2 linked regions of the Macaca fascicularis genome follow. The protein of the gene in region 2 purifies or fractionates together with the protein of the main gene of each other region. This does not show direct contact. Links are inferred from orthologs where the notes say so. Each region holds a gene or a part of one and is shown on either strand. Other genes may lie near its edges.

Region 1 (4,131 bases), on a different chromosome or scaffold from region 2:
GAGCAAAACTCCATCTCAAAAAACAAAACAAAAAAGACCAGCCTGGCCAACATGCCAAAACCCTGTCTCTACTAAAAATGCAAAAATTAGCCAGGTGTGGTTGCAGGCGCCTATAATCCCAGCTACTTGGGAGGCTGAGGCAGAGATGGCAGTGAGCCGAGATCACACCATTGCACTCCAGCTTGGGCGACAACAAGACTCTGTCTCAAAAAAAAAAAAAAAAAAAAACCGCCGGGCACTGTGGCTCATGCCTGTAATCCCAGCATTTCAGGAGGTCGAGGCAGGTGGATCATGAGGTCAGGAGATCAAGACCATCCTGGCTAACACGGTGAAACCCCATCTCTACTAAAAATACAAAAGAATTAGCCAGGCGTGGTGGCGGGCCCCTGTAGTCCCAGCTACTCAGAAGGCTGAGGCAGGAGACTGGCGTGAACCCAGGAGGCGGAACTGGCACAGTGAGCCGAGATCGCACCACTGCACTCCAGCCTGGGTGACAGAGCGAGACTGTCTTAAAAAAAACCACAAGGTGACGAGCCAGGAGGTGACATCTAGGCTGAGCCCTAAATAACAGGAAGAAGCTAGCCCGGGGAATGCTGGGGGATGGGGAAGCGTTCAAGGCAGAGGAAGTAGTGAGTGCAAAGGCCCTGTGACAGCTTGGCCTGTGTGCAAGCCAGAACAAGCCAGAGTGGCCTTAGGTGGGGAGTGAGAGTGGTGGGCAGGGGCATTGGAAAAGGCAGGCATCAGCCCATGCAGCACAGGAGGGCTTTGTCGGGAGTTTAGATTATATTCTAAGCACAGTTTGGATTTTAGCAGAGAAGGGGAAAAATGTAATTTGTGGGGTTTTTTGTTTGTTTGTTTTCAGATGGAGTTCTGCTCTTGTGGCCCAGTCTGGAGTGTGATGGCGTGAGGGCATGATATCAGGTCACTGCAACCTCCGCCTCCCAGGTTCAAGCAATTCTCCTGCCTCAGGCTCCCCAGTAGCTGAGATTACAGGCATGTGCCACCACGCCTGGCTACTTTGTATTTTCAGTAGAGATGGGGTTTCACCATGTTGGCCAGGCGATTCTCGAATTCCTGACCTCAGGTGATCTACCCACCTCAGCCTCCCAAAGTGCTGGGATTACAGGCATAAGCCACACCACCCAGCAGATTTTTGTTTTGTTTTGTTTTTGTTTTTGTTTTTTTGAGATGGAGTCTTGATCTGTCGCCCAGGCTGGAATGCAGTGGTGCGATCTCAGCTCACTGAAACCTCTGCTTGCCGGTTCAAGAATTTATCTGCCTCAGCCTCCTGAGTACCTGGGATTATAGGTGCCCACCACCACGCCCAACTAATTTTTTTGTTTATTTAATAGAGACGGGGTTTCACTGTCTTCGCCAGGCTGGTCTTGAACTCCTGACCTCGTAATCCACCCGCTTCAGCTTCCCAAAGTGCTGGGATTACAGGCGTCAGCCACTGCGCCCGGCCTGATTTGTGATTTTAAAAGATGGTCTGTGCTGGGTGCGGTGGCTCATGTCTGTAATCCCAACACTTTGAGAGGCCGAGGAAGGCAGATCACCTGAGGTCAGGAGTTCGAGACCAGCCTGGCCAATATGGCAAAACCCTGTCTCTCCTAGAAAAACAAAATTAGGCCGGGCGCGGTGGCTCAAGCCTGTAATCCCAGCACTTTGGGAGGCCGAGACGGGCGGATCACGAGGTCAGGAGTTCGAGACCATCCTGGCTAACACGGTGAAACCCCGTCTCTACTAAAAAATACAAAAAACTAGCCGGGTGAGGTGGCGGGCGCCTGTAGTCCCAGCTACTCGGGAGGCTGAGGCAGGAGAATGGCGTAAAAACCCGGGAGGCAGAGCTTGCAGTGAGCTGAGATCCGGCCACTGCACTCCAGCCTGGGCGACACAGCGAGACTCTGTCTCAAAAAAAAAAAAAAAAAAGAAAAGAAAAACAAAATTAGCTGGGCATGGCAGCACATGCCTGTAATCCCAGCCACTCGGAAGGCTGAGGCAGGAGAATCGCTTGAACCCAGGAGGTGGAGGTTGCAGTGAGATCGCGCCATTGCACTCCACTCCAGCCTGGGTGACAGAGTGAGACTCTGTCTCAAAAAAAAGAAAAGATGGTCTGGGCAGGAGTAAAAGATGAGTTAGCAGGGAGATGAGTGGGGAGGCTTCTGCAGTGGTCCAGGTCCAAGGTTTGGTCTGGGGTGGTGATGGCTAGGGCTGGGGAGAATTAGAATTGGGCCTCAAAGCTTTGTCTCAACAAATGAAATGTTCTTTTGGCCACTCGTTGGCCCAGGGAGAGACACAGACATCTTGGTATCATCTGTTGGGCTCTCTTCCCCACCTGACTCTTCCCAGGGCCCAGATGGGTTGGGTCATCATTGGAGGTGGGTGTTATTACTGCAAAGACTGGCAGAGCCCATTGTCCCAGGTTACATCTGAGTGTGTGTCTGTCTGTGTTCTGCCCCTAGTCAGTGGAAAACCGATGGGGAACCTGGCCCCCAAGGCTGGTCCCCCAGGGAACGGTTAGCCCTTCAAGAGGAGCTTAGTGACGTCCTCATCTACCTGGTGGCATTAGCAGCCCGCTGCCGTGTGGATCTGCCGCTAGCAGTGCTCTCCAAAATGGACATCAACCGGCGACGCTACCCAGCCCATCTGGCCCGCAGCTCTTCCCGCAAGTATACAGAATTGCCCCATGGTGCCGTCTCTGAAGACCAGGCTGTGAGGCCTGCGGACCTTCCCTGTGACTCCACGGGCCAGACCTCAACCTAGAAAGGTGGCCACAGGACTTGCAACTCAGGGTGGTGTCTGAAGAGCAGAGGGTGGCCCGGCCCTGGAGCCATTTTCTAGTCTTTTCCAAATAGATCGTGGGCCTGAGGTCTCCACTTCTTGAGGTCTGAGGCCCAGCAACCTCTAGAAGGTAGCCTCCTGGTATTTGCTCTCCCAGTAAAATGGTTTTGGGCAATAACTTCTAGATTCTTCCTGGATGGCCAGGGAGGCTCTCTGTCTCTGCCGGTGATGGCGAGGGGACCAGGGGTGCCTCTGAGCCCCATTCTCGTGTTTCCCTGTTTTTACCTTTTGCCTGTAGGGCAGAGAGATCTGGTTTTTAGCAAATTCCCAGTAGGATGTCATGTAAGTTCCTTCCCCCTCCTTTTAGAGATTGGAGGCTATAAGAGTCCAGATGTTGGAGCCAGGCTGTCTGGGTTCAGATGCCATCTTTGACACTTGCAAGCTGGATGACATTACTCAAATTAATCTTTATGCACTTCAGCTTCCTTGTCTATAAAATAAAAAGAATAGTACCTGCCCAATAGGGTTGTGAGGTTTCAATGAGTTACGTGAGTGCTCAGGGTGGGGCCTGGCACGTAGTAAAGGGTAAGTTTGCGGTTATTGTTATTACCTGTTTTCCTTTTTTTTTTTTTTAAAAGACAGAATCCCACTTTTGTTGGCCTGGCTGGAGTGCAGCGGTGTGATCTCGGCTCTCTGCAACCTCTGCCTCCTGAGTTCAAGTGAATCTCATGCCTTAGCCTCCCAGCAGCTGGGATTACAGGCGCCCACCATCACGCCCAGTTTTTTTTTGTTTTATTTTTTTGAGATGGAGTCTCACTCTTTCTCCCAGGCTGGAGTGCAGTGGTGCGATCTCAGCTCACTGCAAGCTCCGCCTCCTGGGTTCACACCATTCTCCTGCCTCAACCTCCCAAGTAGCTGGGACTACAGGTGCCCGCCACTACGCCCGGCTAATGTTTTGTATTTTTAGTAGAGATGGGGTTTCACCCTGTTGGCCAGGCTGGTCTTGAACTTCTGACCTTAGGTGATCTGCCCGCTTCGGCCTCCCAGAGTGCTGGGATTACAGGCCCGAGCCACCGCGCCCAGCCATTTGCCTTTTTTTATTATTATTATTTAAATATAGTGTTGAAACTGAGTCTCGCTCTGTCACCCAGGCTGGAGTGCAGTGGCGTGATCTCGGCTCACTGCAACCTCTACCTTCTCGGTTCCAGCAATTCTCCTGCCTCAGCCTCCCAAGTAGCTGGGATTACAGATGCATGCCATGATATCCAGCTAATTTTTGTAATTTTAGTAGAAATGGGGTTTCACTATGTTGGCCAGGCTGGTCTCAATCTCCTGACCTCATGATACGTT
Region 2 (3,887 bases):
TAGCCCAGAGTCACAAAGATTTTCACCATTTTTTTCTTCTAGAAGTTTTATAGTTTTAGCTTTTTAGATGTAGGCTTACAATCCATTTTGAGGTAATTTTTGTATACAAGTTGAGATTCTTTCCTCTTTTGCACAAAGATGTCCAATTGTTCCAGCACCATTTGTTTAAAAAGACTGGCCTTTGTATCCTGATTCAAAAATCTGCTTTCTAGCATAAATACGCCTCTGTTTCTGGACTCTCCATTGTGTTTCATTGCTCTATGCGTCTATCCTTTCACATTCCCTTGATTACTGTACATTATAAGTCTTTAAATCAGGTAATCTGAGTCTTCAAACTTTGTTCTTATTTTTAAAAATAGTTTTGACTATTCTAATTCATCCACCTTTCCTTGTGATTTTAGAACCATCTCAATAATTTCTCCAAAAAGTCCTGGAACTTTTCTTAGGATTATGCTGAGTCTCTGTTAAATTTGCTTTTAACTTTAAATACTTCAGCTGTGTCAAATTATGTGTAGCAAATGCAATTTGAATACTGCAAGTTTCAGATAATGAAACACACAATGGATTTTAAATACACACTGATCACACAAAGACATTAAACTACCTACCACTGATTCTACAAATCCCAGGAATGTAGGAAATGTTCACTGGCTAGAGCTACTAACAACTTACAAAGGTGAAGGGCTTATGCAGTCTCTTTAGCATAAAGGAAATAATATCAGTCATACTCAAGGAAGATAATATTACAACTTTGTTGCAAGTTCTTCACAAAATGAATAATGAGTCTGGTAAAAGCTCCATATTTATATGTACACCATCATTTAGAGATTAAAATCGCCTATCTGTCCCATATCTAAAAGAAGGATCTTCTGGAATGCCAGAAGAGCCTCATTTTATACAGTCATGCTACCACAGATTAAACATCAGCACAATTATCTGAGAGCTTTCAGCCATGTTTTCGGAATGTCCACTTTCTCCATTTTACTAGATACTGCAAAACATATAAAAGTGTTTCACCTGGGTGAAGATCTGTACCTGGTTGGTTAGTCAGTCCTGGGAGAGATTCCTGCAACTGGTAAGTAGAGGTTGAAGAGGGTGTGCCATCGGCTGTGTTATTTGATGTCATATACGCTCCATACGTTGATGCTGAATAATACTGTGCATACTGGTTTTGGCCAAAGGCTGTATAGGATGGATAATCCTGAAACAATAATTGAGATGTGTGTGTTTGAAAGAGAAATTACTCTTTAATACTCTCCAAAGAAAACCAGTCATTACAGTAACTGAAAGATTAGTACTCAGCCCCGTTTGTTTCTGAGTCCACAGCTTTGAGGTGCTCCTAATGAGCAGAGACTACTTGGTGGGCATCTCTTACAAGCATATAGTAGTGAAATACCCTATTGTTTTGGCAAACCAGGTCCAGTATACAAATTTTAATGTGATTAAAGTTAGCATATGCTTCACTTTGCTCCTGATAATTACTTATTCAAGGATTTACATCATCAGGACCTACGTGTTTGAAGAGGAAAGAAGGAGATGGAATCAGTTCATATTCACAAAATCAGTTCTTACATATCTTCTAACACTACCAGCAAGGAGTTGGGGCTGCCCCTCCTAGACTCCACAAAGACCTCAGTCTGCATTTTTGTGATTTTTGTTCCTTTCTGGGCTACCACTGACAATTCTGTTTTCTTGGAAGGAGGTAAAAAGTAAATAAAAGGAGATGAATACGACTTTTTTTTTTTTTTTTTTTTTTTTACCCAGCCTCTCACAAACTATATGACACCTGAGGCCTTGACTTAAAGTCTTTAGTGAACTTTTCAATTATTTAGTTTCCCTCCTTTGTTACAGAGATAAACGAAAGCACTGAATCAACACCCTTGACCTGCTTTTTATTAAAAAATTTTAAGAACCTTAAAATGATGATAATGACCCTTCAAAATCCTTTTACATAGTAGGATGATGAGTAAGGAATTGTTGTGATAACTGGTGTTTAATATATCTAGCATGTGTCAGCCCAAAATGTTATCAGTGATGACAAATCCTTGGTCATCACCGATAACATTAAGATCCCCCGATGAAATGTGTTCCAAAGGAAACAAAGATCTACATTTGATATGGTTTCCAAAAACTAAAAGAAATAATCTATATTATAAGTAAATATGTATACTATCATAAAGGATTAGGTAATATGGCAGAAAACTAAAATTCTATTAGTCTGAAAATTTCAAGATCCAATGTTTCCCACTACCACTTGTGAGCCAAGAACAAAAACCTCATCATATCTAAACAAAGTTCCTAGCAGTATCTCTCAAAGTAAAACAGTGATAGCAGAGGTTTACATAGTGCTTGCTCTGTATCAAGACACTGTTCTAAGGGCTCAAATATATTTACTCATTTAATCCTCATAATCTCTTATGTGGTCTTAATACTATATTCATTTTACATTGAAGGGGACTAAGGCACAGAGTGGTTAAGTGATTTGTACAAGGTCACACAGCTAGTAAGTTTCAGAGCTAGATTTGAACCCAGAGTGCCTAAGTCAAACATCTGTGCTGAAGCGCTCTGTTAGCCTACTAATTCCTGCAGAAGAAGATGAGGTTACATACTGGAAAGGTCCAGGCTATTCCCCACTGGGGAATATAATGTCTTTTCATATTCAAACGTATCTCAAAGATCTCCCTTTCTTTTCATTTCCACTGTCGTCCCCCTTGTCCAAGCTCCCTTTTCTTCCTGTTGCAGGCAATGTATTCATTTTTAAATTTATCTCCTCTTTCCATTTTTGACTTTCTCCAAAGACCTTGGTGGTAGAGTTATCTTCTCAAAACATAAATTAAATGATGTAATTTTCTTGCTCAAAATCTCATCATAGCCTCCCACTGGGCTTGGAATAGAATCCAAATTCCTTATTGTAAACCACCAGGCCTTACGTGAGTAGGCCCCCACCTATCTCTGCAAATGTGTTTCCGCACTTGCCCCTCATGCACTAACTAAACTCCAGCCTTTTTTTTTTTTTTTTTTTTTTTTAGTTCAGTGACACACCAAGTCTTCCATCCGTCGGGGATTTGGTACACGCTGCTTTCTTTGCCTGAAACACCACTGCCCTCCTTCACCTAACTCTTAGAAGTCTTGGCCTAAATGTGGTTTCCATAGAGAAGCCTTATATAAAACCTCCCCTATTCAAAATTATACTTCAGTTGATATTTTAACAGACCCTGTTCTCTTCCTAAATCTGTATTTGTGTGTTTACTGGTTTATTGTCTGTTTGTCCCAGTAGGCTGTAAGCTCCATGAGGCAGGAATCATACCTGATCCACTCTGGCCCCACCTTCGTGTACCCCAGTATACAGACCAATTCCTAACACTTAATGGGCACTCAATAGGTATTAGCCAAAACAACAAACTGGTGCTCAGGCCATGGTCCCAAATACAGATTACATTTTATATTGTGATCCATTGTATTTAAATCTTCACAGATTTTCGGATCTGTTTTATGATTAACTGTTTTTAAATAAACGTTTTTTTTCCTTTAAAAATCTTTTCTTAATCCTCCCAAATAGAGGCAGAGTAGTTTTTCTCTTATAGTACAACTCTACCTAGTGTATATTTCTGTTATATGTGTGTGTGTGTGTATATATATGTATATATATACATACACATTTTTTTTTTTTTTTTTTTTTTTTTGAGACGGAGTCTCGCTCTGTCGCCCAGGCTGAAGTGCAGTGGCCGGATCTCAGCTCACTGCAAGCTCCGCCTCCCGGGTTCACGCCATTCTCCTGCCTCAGCCTCCGGAGTAGCTGGGACTACAGGCGCCCGCCACCTCGCCCGGCTAGTTTTTTTTTTTTTTGTATTTTTAGTAGAGACGGGGTTTCACCATGTTAGCCAGGA

What was found. Proteins that work in one complex are often made in the same cells at the same time.
Region 1: the proteins of EYA4 (region 2) and DCTPP1 purify together in Homo sapiens (affinity purification with mass spectrometry; 3 studies listed by BioGRID and IntAct, with this or other methods). This does not show direct contact. The link is inferred for Macaca fascicularis from reciprocal best matches to the Homo sapiens genes EYA4 and DCTPP1.

Annotation. Positions count from the first base shown.
Region 1 is NC_088394.1:28,564,649-28,568,779, reverse strand, and holds the end of DCTPP1 (dCTP pyrophosphatase 1), read left to right. Parts: intron 1-2,462; coding exon 2,463-2,763; 3' UTR 2,764-3,302; downstream 3,303-4,131. UniProt on the Homo sapiens protein: Hydrolyzes deoxynucleoside triphosphates (dNTPs) to the corresponding nucleoside monophosphates. Has a strong preference for dCTP and its analogs including 5-iodo-dCTP and 5-methyl-dCTP for which it may even have a higher efficiency.
Region 2 is NC_088378.1:37,438,811-37,442,697, reverse strand, and holds part of EYA4 (protein phosphatase EYA4), read right to left. Parts: intron 1,202-3,887; coding exon 1,018-1,201; intron 1-1,017. UniProt on the Homo sapiens protein: Tyrosine phosphatase that specifically dephosphorylates 'Tyr-142' of histone H2AX (H2AXY142ph). 'Tyr-142' phosphorylation of histone H2AX plays a central role in DNA repair and acts as a mark that distinguishes between apoptotic and repair responses to genotoxic stress.